Linked DNA regions of Caenorhabditis elegans. The protein of the gene in region 2 interacts with the protein of the main gene of each other region in a pairwise test. Each region holds a gene or a part of one and is shown on either strand. Other genes may lie near its edges.

Region 1 (5,040 bases), on a different chromosome or scaffold from region 2:
AACTTTTTTACGCAATTGTAGAAAACTGTGCATTTTCTCGTGAGGGGCTCGGTGTTTGCGTACTTTTCGAGCTACAGTAACCCAAAATGGTCAAAATTGAGCAGAGAACACGGGGGAAAATGGTGCTAGAGTGAAAAAATTCGAGGAATCTGAATTTTCACTTAATAATTTGATTTTGTGCAAAACAATTGGATAAAATTTTTTTTGAAAAACAACTTTTAAAATTTTCTTCAAATTTTTATATTTTCTGCCGATTTTAAAACATTTTCACTATTAAATTCGTTTCCAGCACCATTTTTCACCCCTACCCCAACTTTTTTACGCAATTCCAGAAAACTGTGCATTTTCGCGTGAGGGGCTCGGTGTTTGCGTACTTGCGTACTATTGGGGCTACAGTACCCCAAAATGATCAAAATTTAGCAGGAAACACCAGGAAAAATGGGTCTAGGGTGAAAAAATGCGAGGAATCTGAATTTTAACGTCAAAATTTGATTTCGTTTGAAATTTTTGGGAAAAAATTCGATTTTTTTTCTTTTTTTTTTTTGATATTTCAAAACATTTTTTCACAACCAATTTTTGTAGTTTATAGTAAAGCCTAGACTACAAACTACAGTAAACAAACTAACGATTCATTGGAGAAACACCGCGAAATGTTTCATCGAAGAAGTTGGGCGGCGAGGACCAACATCCGGACGGGCGGTTTAGAATACGATCCTCATCATCTTCAGAATCCTTATCATGGAGGTTCAGTGATAGATCAGAGTCACATAGGCTCGGGGAGTACCTGGAAATTTGAGTTTAGAGTATGCTGGACTTTGGCAGACCAATACTGAACCAAATTTTCCAAATTTTCACAAAATCTAGATATTTTCAACATTTTTCATATCAAAATTCACGCTCAGCGTCATTTTTTACCCCTAAACCCGCCTTTTCAGCCGATTTTAAGATTTTCTGCAATTTGTCGTAAGATGCTGGGTGTTTGCGCACTTTTCAAGCTACAGTAACCTCAAATTTTCAAATTTTACGCTAGGACTCCAAAAAAAAGTATTCTAGAAGTGAAAAATGGTGAGGAATTCGAATTTTTATGTTTCAAAGGGGGAAAATTTGGATTAACAGGGAAAATGTTCCTTTTTTGCGATATAAAAATGATTTTTCAACAATTTTCATGCCAAAACTCAATATCAGCATGATTTTCTACCCATATCTCTACTTTTTCAGCAAAATCGGAGTTTTTCTGTGCATTTTTGCGTCACGCTCACGGTGTTTGCGGACTTTTGGGGCTACCGTACCCCAAAAGTCTCAAAATTAACGATAGAGACCCAGAAAAAACGGGTAACATGTGAAAAACGATGGAGAATTCGAATTTTCACCTCATAATATTGGATTTCCGCCGCTTTGACTTCAAATTTTCATTTTCTTCCTCAGGGTCCGGCCATTTTTCATCAAGTGTCGGAAGTAGGTCGGCTACTGAGTATTCTGCTTCTTCCGCTATGCTTTTACTCGTTGATTCCATCATTTTTGATAAGGAAATCTGAAAAATGGTGTTCTGGTCTGCTAGACTACAAACTACAAACTATAAACTATAAATTGTAAAATATATACAAAAAATTTAAATTTGGCAGATCAAATCATTTTGAAACTGGCAAATATTGGTCTGACGGACTACAAACTATAAACTACAAACTACAAACTACAAACTACAAGTTATAAACTACAAACTATAAACTACAAACTACAAACTAGAAACTACAAACTACAAACTACAAACTACAAACTACAAACTACAACTATAAATCTCTGACTTCAAAATAGCAGATCTAGCCAAACAAAACTATTAACCTACATATGACAGACTCAATCAATTTTAAACTTGCAAATTTTGGCCTGATGGACTATACACTACAGACTACAAACTACAAACTACAAACTACGAATTATAAACTACAAACCATAAACTACAAACTATAAATTACCAACTTCGAAATAACAGATCTAACCACACAAAACTATGAACCTGCAAATGGCAGACTCAATCAATTTTAAACTAAAAAACATTGGTCTGACGGACTACAAACTATAAACTACAAACTACAAAAACTACAAAGACTACAAACTACATCTTCACCACCACCTCCTCATCCAGCTCACCTCAAAGCTTGTTTTGCTCGGCTTAATTCTGTTATTTTTCATCGCTGCCGCCGCTGCAACGTCATCAGAGTTACGGGGAACTGCGTAAGCGGATTTCGATTTAATAATACTCCGAAGACACGGATGAACCAGAAATTCGGCGTCAGAATCCTCTTCTGAATCGTCATCACCTCCAGAGGAATTGTCGTTGTGCAGCCAGTCGGCTGAGTAGGACTGGAAAAAAATTCAGGAAATTTGGAGGTTTTAGAGGCTTCTTTTTGGTTTTTCGATATGAAAATCGAGTTCCCGACATTTTTTACCCTGGAAACTTTTTTTTTTCGAGCTTCTAGCTCATTTTTGAAATTTTTTGGGTTACTGTAGCTCCAGAAGTACGCAAACACTGCACCTTACGACAAAATGCAGAATGCTTTGAAATTGACTTAAAATGGTGTTTGAGGGGTAAAAAATTGTGTTGAAAATGAAATTCGGTGTGAAAAATTCCAAAAATGAGTTGCGTTTTTTTGCCGAGAAAATTTTTTACTGGAAAATTTGTAGAAATTTGAAATTTTTCACAATTTTTATTAAGAAATTCGGATTCTCCGTAATTTTTCACCCTTAATAAGTTTTTCTCTAAACTTCTGGCTCAATTTTAAGTTTTTTGGAATTACTGTAGCCTCAAAAGTACGCAAACACAAATCGATGCACCATACCTTACGACAAAATGCACAGAAAATTAAAATTGGCTGAAAAAGCTGGGAATGGGGTAGAAAGTGGCGCTGAATTTGAATTTTGATATGAAAATTTTTAAAAGTTGCTGGTTTTCGAGAAAAATTTCGAGTTTTGAAAAAAAAAAAATTTTTAATTTTTTTGTTGCTTTTTGCAAAAAAACCGGTTTAGGAGCAAAAAAACGCTGCTGAATTTGATTTTTATAGTTAAAACCTTTAAAAATCAACGGTTTTCCTGAAAAAACCTACCCTCCGAATAACCGTCGGACACTCGTCATCATCCTCGTCCTCCGTGTTCTCCTCAATCGGAAAATCATCGCATTTTCGACATTCAAATGCGCTCATTTTGTGCTGAAATTTTTAAGACTTAAAATTTCAAGTAGTGGAAAAGAAGTTTTGGAGCAAAAAAAAAAAAAGAAAAAAGGAAAAATAAAAGTGAATCTCTGTTCCAGACATGCGCGCTGGAAAAAATGATGAATGGAGTGGATGAGAGAGTGAAGAGAGTGCAGAGAAAATTGCGTTGAAAAACAACTCAAAAAAGGGGATCATGGAAAAAATATTCAGAAAATTTTCAAAACTTTTGTTCTTGAAAAATTCCAAAAAAAAATTTTTTTTCACCGAAATTCCAAAAATAATTTTTTTTTCCAAAATTTAACTTCTCAACAATTTTTTCGTCAAATTTTACAGCCGAAGCCTTTTTTACCGAGTTTCTAGATCAATTTTCGAGTATTGCGGGGGTACTGTAGGTTCAAAAGTACGCGAACACCGGACCTTGCGACAAAATGCACAGAAACTCAAAATTGCCGGAAAAGACGTGGTAGGGGTAAAATCAAGACCTGAATTTGAATTTTTAGATGAAAAATTGAGAAAGTGAAAAATGAAAAATAAAGAAAATAAGTTTGGAAAAAAAATTTTCTAAAATTTTTTTTTCCCGAAATTCCAAAAAAACTTTTTTAAATCAAAATTGAAGTTCCCTACGAATTTTTTGTCAAATTTTCCAGCCAAAGTCTTGTTTCCGAGTCTCTAGCTCAATTTTTAAGTCTTGCGGGGTACGGTAACACAGAATCTCAAAAATGTCGGAAACAGGTGTGGTATGGATAAAATAAGGTGCTGAGTTTGAATTTTAACATGAAAATCAGGAAAAATCTTGATAAAATAAAGATTTTCGAGAAAAAAACATTTTGCCAAAAACTCAACTTTTCGGGGGTACGGTAACCCCAAAAGTACGCAAACACCGGACCTTACGACAGAATGCACAGAAACCGAAAGTTGTCGGAAAAGGATGGATTAGGGGTAAAATTAGGTGCTGAGTTCGAATTTTAGCATGAAAAATTGATGAAAATTGAATAAATAAAGATTTTCGGGAAAAATTGCTAAAAAAAATTTTTTTTTGCGATGTTTTTTTCTGGCTTATAATTTTCACCAATGTTATTGGCTATATCATATCACGAGTTTTGACATGTTATCTCAATTTCCTCCCCCCCCTTTCTTCACTCCATTTCCCTCATCGAGAGAGCACACACATTTTCCAATAAATTCCGCGCATTTCCTGCTCTCTGAGGGTAGCGTCTTCTTCACACTAATCTCCCGACGAGATAGTATGTGAAAGTGAGAGACGCAGAGAAAATGAGAGCAAAAAAAAGATGTAGTAATGAGTGGGAATAGATTAAGGGGTACCCCCTGAAAGAGGGGGGGGGGGGGGGGTGGGGAGGTGCAGGTTTTTTTCGAAAAACCAAAAAAATTTCTCAAAATCCAACGATTTTCATAATTTTTCACATTGAAATTCGATCTCAGCACCTCATTTCACCCCTAGAACACTTTTTTCAGAGGATTTTGAGATTCTGTGCATTTTCGCGTAAGGTGTGCGGTGTTTGCGGACTTTTGGGGCTACAGTACCCCCCAAAAGACAAATTTGAGCAGGAAACATAAGAAAAATGTTAGAAATTTAATATATAGCCCTATAATTTATTTCCAGGCGAATATATCTTCCGAAAAAGAAATTTTGAAAGAAAAAACTAAAAAAATTGAATTTTCAATGTTTTCAGGTATTTTTTGATAATTTTAACTGTCAAATTCAAGTTCAGCGCCTCATTTCACCCCTGGGACTGTTTTTTCCGATGATTTTGAGATTCTGTGCATTTTCGCGTGAGAGACTCGGTGTTTGCGTACTTTTGGCGCTACAGTAACC
Region 2 (7,850 bases):
TGCCTGTACGAGTCAAAAATATATTCGAGCTTGCGATTCCCATTCAAGAGCTTCCGCCGGATCCAGATGCAGTCGCAATGTCGCCCGATACATTTCGTTTGAAAGAGAAAGAAATGGACGATTTGCTTATGAATGCAAAATGCGAAGATGGAACTTCCATGGCATCCGTGGCAAAATACATACCATCAAAAGCCACACTGAAGCGAATGGAAGAAGAGGCGGCTGCAGCGAAGAAAACATTACTTGCTCGGAAAGCTGCAAAGATAGCGGAGCTGGAAGCAAGAATTGAACAATTACGGCGAGACTCGTTCGATGACACCAGTATTGATGAAACGACCGACCTTGATCAGCTAACGATTTCCCGCCCAACGGCTGTTTTTGCGGAAACTGGAAATATCTCACTAGATGGCACAAGCCAGACGGTCCAAAGAGCATCGATGTCCTCGCCGGGTAGTGTCACAGTGGTTTCATCTCCGACGATTGGTGTTTTGGCGGCAGCCCCTACAGCGATTGGTGCGTTGATGGGAGCATCTCCTGGCGTTGGAGCTTTGGTCGCTGCAGCTCTTAATCCTGTTCAACAAAACCCTTCGGAGAAAGAGGATCCTGATGGTGGTTCTCTTAGTACTGTTGGTTATAATTTCCGGTTCTTTCAAAGCATAGACTAGCTTTTTTCAGGACTTTCACGTTGTACACGACGAACTGAAACACGCTATGGCATTGGACAAATCTATCAAACGGCACTGCTAGCGACGCTATTTGTATAAATATTTCCTTCATTTCAATTTTTTTTCCAATTTTCAGTAATGCAATTTTTTTAAAAAGAATAAAACAATAGTTCAAAGTGAAAATTTTATTTAGAAAATGTCAAAAGACTACAATCAAACAGATGTGAATGATCAATTTACATAAAAGTGCCGGTCTAGCTTAATCAATAAGCGACGCAGGCGGTTGGGACCTTGACAGACTCAACGAAAGAGACTGGGTAGTCGTCAAGTTGGAGTGGCTGTTGGCGAGACTCCTTCAAGAGACGGCTGGCATCTCTGTTGTGACGTTGCAAGCAGGTGAAGCGGATCTTTCTCTGTTGTTGCTGCTCGACCTCGTATCCGCGGCGGCACTCGGCTACTGGCTCAACGGAGAAGCAGATGCGGTGGGAGAACTCCTTGATTTGTGTCTTCTCGACAAGATCTTAAATTAAAAATTATCGATATGAAATTTGAAGAAATTGTATCTTACCGGATTTCTTCTGGCTTCTCTGGTTCTTCTGGCTCTTCTTGGTGTTTTCCTGCTCGTAATCGTAGGTCTCCTCAGATGAATACTCATCAGATTGCTCCTCGTCTCTCTCGTACTTTCTGTAGTTCTTCTTCTCGGAAAGACGCTCCTCCTCGGCTTCGCACTCCTCGTTCTTGAGAAGGTATGAGCGGTGAAACTCTTCGATGTCTTCGGTTTCGGTGTTATCGGAAGTGTAGAACTCGTTGGTGGACTGAAAATTTTTGTTATAACTCAATATAAATTTCTACACTGAACTCACCTCATCATCATTGTTTCCGCAAAGTCCGCAAAGTTGATTCTTGCGGCTGTAGGATGGAAGTTGGGTCTTGATGGTGTATCCGTCAAAGCGAACCTCTCCTTCTGGAAGCTCAATAACAATAGCGGACTCTCCGAGTCTCTCGATTTGGTAAGCAGAATAATCCTCAGATTGGATCTTCTTTCCGTCAACCTTAACGCGGATCTCCTCGTTCTGGAGTTGGGCAACAATTTCTTGTTCTCCACGGATAACCTTGATGATCATCTCTTCAGAATTCTTTTCAGTCTTCTTGGAGAGAACAGCGAAAGTTGGCTCCTCGGAGCAATCCTTGGCGATAAGAGAGTAGCAGGTGGTGAGTGGAGTGTTGTAAAGGACATCATCGAAAGTGCGGATTTGGTTCTTTTGCACCTTGCAGACAGATCCGGAAGCCTCAGTAAGTTGGTGCTTGACGGAACGTTGAGCAATGGATGGAAGGTAGACACGTGGAACTTGAACGTTTTTGAGCTCAATGCGCTCCATTGGGGATTGCATGGTGATGTTGACGTATTGGCGGGACATTGGCTCAACTGTGAGTTGGACGACGACGCGATCATTCTCGTTGTTCTCTGGGCGGCTCGAGACAGTCCAGTAGTTGTAGGTCTTAACAAGATCGAAATAACGGGCAAGAACTTGTTCGGTTTCACGGGTGAGCTTGTACTCAGCAACAGCGTTGATCTGGTTAAGACGGGCGGCCTTGATCAAAAGCTCGTACTCTGGCATTCCATTGAATTGACGGTCCATGTTACGCTCGTATTTCTTCTGTTCTTTGGATTGTTGGAGTTGAGCATTGACGGTGACTTCGCTCTTCTTCTGGGATCCCCAGGTAGAGGTAAGAGAGAGTTGAACCTCACGGTGGGGTTGATCGCGGAGTTGACGGAGGGATGATGGCATCTCTGGGCGGACAACAAGAAGTTGGGAGCGGAGAGTCCATTCCTTGGTTTCCTCAAGGATTGGGGAGCGGCGGATTTCAACTTCCCATTGGCACATGCGGACTTGCTTGTCACAGACGGTGGTGAGCTCGGTGTTCATGGTGTAGTCACGTGGGGCCTCAAGTTTCAAGGAGATGACGGATTTGTATCCTTGCTCCTTCTGGATGTTCTTGACCATCTTGTTGAAGTACTCACGGCGGCTCTCGGTGTTCTCTTGTTCGAGCTCGAACTCCTTTTCGAAGATCTTGTTGTACTTGATTTGGGAGAGTTCGGTCTTCTCGAGTTGTCCAACGGTGAGACGGGCAGTGAATTCGGCTGGACGGTTCTTGTTCTCAACGGAAACCTCGAAGTCTTGCTCGGCAAGAAGCCAGTTTTCAAGAGTGTGTTGGTTGAGGATGTTTCCGCGGGTGGAGACTTCAAGTCCGAGGAAGTTGAAGACTTTCTCAATTTCCTGAGTCTTTTGTTGCCATTGTGGAACAACGACGGTTCTCTCTTCAGCCTCAATGTATTCGAACTTCGAGAATCCTGGGAAACGAAGGAAGACAACTGGGCGAGTGGTGAGGGAGACGATCGATTTTTGGTTCTCTGGAACGACAACCTTGTAGACGATTTCGAAGTTTCTCTTCATTCCAGCGACGGCTTGAATCTTGATTGGGGTGTAGGCGCGGACGGATTGAACGCTCTTGACTCCTTGCTCGAAGAGTGGGGTGAACATTCTCATCTCGTAGACGTGGGTGGCAGCAACAGATGGGCGAGCCTCAACGGTCAAACGAAGTTCCGTTCCCTCGAGTTCAAGAGAGAATTGTCCTTCAGCCGAGATGACGGTTGGGATCTTTCCAGAGATGGTGAGTGGAAGCCCAAGAGTTGTTGGGAATTTGCGGATAGCTTCGTAGAAGTAAGCGGCATGGTGCGTCTCGAACTCGAGCTCTTGGTTGAGAAGACGGCGGATTTCGCTGAACTGAACCTTTCCGTTGCTGGTGAACTTCTCGATAAGATTCTCAACAAGTTGTCTGTCAATTGGAAGGAAGGCGTAGTCCATGTCCTTGTAACGAAGGTAGACCATGGCGAAGGCATCCTTCTCGGTGTAGGTAGCTGGGCGAGCACGGATGTTCATTTTCTGGGCAAGTTCCTTAAGAAGCTTGATTCCAGTTTGAATACGGCGTCCGCGAACAACAGTGGTCGACTCCTTCTCGAGGCTTTCGAGTTTCTCAAGAGCCATCTGAACATATTTGTCCATGTGCTGCTGAGAGAATCCGATTTGGGCAAAGTACTTGTTCCAGTTTCCTCCGAAGACGGCATCAAGAGAAGCGTGAAGATCCTTTGGCAAGAAAGAGTTCTTCTCGAAGATAGCGGCAAAGTCAAATTGAGCTCCAGAGAAGGAGTTTTGAAGGAAGAGTGGAAGTTGAGCGTAGGAGGAAGCGATCATTTGTTCTTGTGGTTGATAACGAGTGAAGGAAAGAACCTTTGAGCAAACGATAGCAACACGTTGGTAACATGGGTTGGTGGACATGGCAAAGTGACGGATCATCTGGTGGGTAAGAGCAGCAACTTGTTGGTTGGTCTCCTTCTCCATTTGGGAGACAACTTGGACGAGGAGGGACTCTTCTGGGCGGGTATGCATCATTCTCCACAAAGCAAGCATGCGGATCTCTGGCTCGTATTGTCTGTTCTTGTAGATTGGGAGGAGTACCTTTTGGATCTTGCGTGGCATGGTGTCCTTAAGAAGTCTGAGGGCATCAATGGCTTCCTTGCGGACTGGGAGTGGTTGGCGCTTATCAACAATGATCTCGTTGAGTTGGTTGACGGAGATGTCGAGTCCAGCGTTTCCGATGGTCTTGAGGGCCAAAATCTTCTCGTAGGTGGTCTCAGCATCCTTGTATTGTTGCATGAATACGCGGAGGAACTTCTCCTTGAGCTCACGCTTGTCCTCACGAACGAGTGGACGGATGTTCTTGTAGTCAACAATTCCGCGGACAACTGATCCAGCGGCGAGCCAAGCAGCTTGACGGACAACCAGGTTGTTCTTGGCAACGCGAGACTCGGCGAACTTGATGAGTGCCTCAGCGATGCTTTGGGATGGGAATGGTGTCTCTTGGATGGTCTTAAGAATTTGACCGAGTGGGAGAATGTCCTCGTTTTCCATGTGAACAAGGATGTGTTGAATTGTGTTCTTGGTTCCAGCAATAGCAAGAGCGTGCTCCATCAATGATTGGATCTAAATATTGCAAGGTATAGGATATAATGAAACTGAAATTTTTTACCTTCTTGTCAGCCTTGACGTAAAGAGTCTCGTGGATCTCCTTAAGTTGGGAGGTGGAGGTGGTGCGGAAAATGCGGACAAGACGAGCAAGGAAGTGGGAGGTCTCTGGCATGTTGTTCTCGACTTCTTGGATTTGCTCAGTGATAGTCTTGATCAAGTGCATCTTCTTGTCGAGTGGGAACTTCTCGAATGGGGCGAACTCAGCCTTGTCTCCATTCTTGAAGAAGTCCTCAACGAGTTGCTCCCAACGGGAAGAGTAGATGATGCTTTCCTTCTCTCCATTGACCTGAAAGAATATTTTTCTGAGAACATACTGTAAAAATTATAGATTATCGTACCTTCTTGATGTGGCTCTTGATGGAGTGGTTCTCCTCAAGAACGAGCTTTGAGCGGGTTTCAGTCTTCATTACTTCTTGTCCGTTGACGTTGACAGTGTAAAGGGAGCGGACCTCGGATTCCTTAAGCTCTTCGTTCTCCAAAACGTAGGTGTAGACAGTTTGTGGGCGGATGAGCTCGGTGTCCTTCTCGCATTCTGGGCACTCGGAAGAGTAACGAAGTCCGTAAGCGATCTCGGAACGTTCGGTGCACTTATCGAAGTTGATGGACTTGGTGATGATGGTCTTCTTCTGCTCACGGATGACAGTGTAGGCGACTTGGCAGTCTCCTTCAAGGGTCTTCTCGTTGGTGAAGAAAGAAGTGTTTTCCTCAGATTGTTCCTCCTTGTCATAAGAAGATTCGATCTTCTCAATCTCGTTTCTTGGAGCAATTGGGTTGAAAGAGATCATGTTGACAACAGCTCTCTTCATGTTCTTTGACCATTCAGCGTCTTCCTTGTCAAATTGGAGCTCGGAGATAAGTCCATTTCTGAGTTGAGCACGGAGTGGGAGTTCGAGCATTTGCTTGTACTCCTCGGAGAGCTCGCGCTGCTCCATGGAGTTCAAGGAAGGCATCTGCTCGGACTCTGGGAGGTGGGAAGCGGCCATGCGGATGTTGACAAGTTGAAGGTGGATGTAGCGGTCATCGACGGCTTGAATGCGGGCACGTGCAGAAATACGGGATTGGGAAAGCTCAGAGGAAGCGGATGGGAGTCCGGAAAGGACGAGGCCATCGAACTTGTAGTGATAGTCAGTTTTTGGCTCGAAGGTGCGCTCGAAAGCTGGAGAGGAGGCGAGGGCCAAGGCCACGAGAGAGGCGATGATGATCGACCTCATGGCTGAACCGTGATTGGACTGTTTTCAGTGCACCTTTATATACGGCTAAAGATTGACATATGTTCGATTGACTTCATATGGAAGTTATAGCGTTTTAGCGCATTGATAAGCTCATTGATGGACACATTCAAGCATTCGCTCCGCTTTGTGACCCTTATCAGAAACAAATTGCAACATTCGGTGAGAGCCCTGTCTATTAATTTTGAATGAGGGGTTCTAAACATATAACTAAATTGTTTCAAGTAATACAGTTTGATCACACTGCACTTTGATACTCATGACTTTTTAACGATGAGGTGATTCTGGACATGATGAAACTCAGCTAGCACATGGTATTTAAAACAAAGTCATTACTTTTTTACTTGCTAGTTGCATTGTGACCGACAGGATAGAAAAATCTGCAAAAAAAACTTGGTAAAATTGTATTGTAGGCACCTAAAACGCAACCAGTTTTCCTCAATTGGGCACACAGGATCACAAAAACTAAAACTGAATCCAAAAAAATATGATAGAACTAACAAATGTTAAAACTTAAAACAACTAAACATTAAAAACCCAATTATTCACAAACTTCACCAGATGTTTTGACATTATTCTAACTTAACATTAATTGTACGTCTAGCAAAAATCTGATTAGTTGGAAATCCGCGGCATCCCTAAAACTTTTTCATTTTCCAGTGTTCTGCGTATTATTCGGTTGTCAGTAATTCCCAAATCTGGACTATAAGGTCTCACAAACGTCCGGTACTGTGATTGTGTGTTAATTGTTTCTAAATTAACTTGAATTCACCATTATTTATTTGTAACTTATAAGAAATCTGTTTTGTTTGTATTTTTTTTTTACTTCCCGTTCAGAAAGTCGACTATTTTTGATCAAGTACTTTATGCCACGAAAACCAATATCACGCTAGTTGTTGAAATCGACAACGCCGCTGGGGTGGTCGCTGCGCACTTGGCGAATCCGCAACACAGGAGAAAAGATTGGATAGTCAAATGACCCAGAAATGTCCGTGGAGGAATATAGCAGTCTCGGCGGTGTACGACGCGACGGAATTCGGATGTAGGACAGAGACTCCTAGTAAGAAGGAGGAGGAGGGGGGTCCTTTCCCGAAAAACACTCCCTATTCTTTCTTCCTTCCCTTTCGGTTATCACTCCACACTTGTTGATGTCACAACCGATCCGGACATTCAACCCGCACCGATTGCCTGTGTCTCCATTTCCAAGGAGAAGTGTATCTCCGATATATACAACTTTCATATTTATTTCAAATGTTTGAACTATACAGTTTATGATATTTTTGGTTCAAATGGTTTAATTCCAAAAACGGAACCATTAGTTAATACGTTTTTGTTGTTCCTGTTTGAATTTTTTGAGCCTTTTCCTATCAATTACTTTTTGAAATCTAACAGAAATTTTGAAACCAAATAACTTTTTCATAGTCCTCTCAGATTTGCTTCGACGTCTCAGCTTTTCACAATACTCATAGAATAAGTAATATAATTTATCAAAAGAAACAGTTGTGATAATAATTAATGTGTTTCAACGGTATTTGTAAAATATCTGTAGTTTATGTTTGTAAAACAATTTTGTATATATGTTTCGGCTCACTTAAGCTTTCTAGGCCAATTTCAGGCGTTTTAGACTCATTTGTAGGCTTATCGGGCTGTTAGGTAGGATAGTCCCTATAAAATAAGTTGAATAATGTTTTGGAATAAAAAACGAAAGTTTGGAAAAAAACATTTTGAGGTGTATATGTTTTGCGTCGTCTTTAAGTTTCATTGTTTTTTGTTACAAAAATTTTAATTCATAAACTTTCTAAGCAATCCTTATCTTCGATCGTTGGGATTAGAAAGGAAACACTCCTAGACGATTACTTTCGCCGATT

Evidence for each region. The genes of interacting proteins can lie anywhere in the genome.
Region 1: the proteins of vit-2 (region 2) and jip-1 interact in a two-hybrid assay, tested with the Caenorhabditis elegans proteins (one large-scale study listed by BioGRID).

What each region holds. Positions count from the first base shown.
Region 1 is NC_003280.10:1,325,158-1,330,197, reverse strand, and holds the start of jip-1 (PID domain-containing protein), read right to left. Parts: upstream 3,204-5,040; 5' UTR 3,198-3,203; coding exon 3,102-3,197; intron 2,362-3,101; coding exon 2,149-2,361; intron 1,532-2,148; coding exon 1,371-1,531; intron 785-1,370; coding exon 627-784; intron 1-626.
Region 2 is NC_003284.9:5,099,157-5,107,006, reverse strand, and holds vit-2 (Vitellogenin-2), read right to left. Parts: upstream 5,976-7,850; 5' UTR 5,965-5,975; coding exon 5,092-5,964; intron 5,040-5,091; coding exon 4,755-5,039; intron 4,709-4,754; coding exon 1,529-4,708; intron 1,481-1,528; coding exon 1,234-1,480; intron 1,186-1,233; coding exon 929-1,185; 3' UTR 838-928; downstream 1-837. Other genes in the region: C42D8.9 (CUPID domain-containing protein), read left to right, coding at 1-626, 676-747. UniProt on the Caenorhabditis elegans protein: Precursor of the egg-yolk proteins that are sources of nutrients during embryonic development. Together with other vitellogenins, may play a role in modulating life-span, acting via induction of autophagy and lysosomal lipolysis.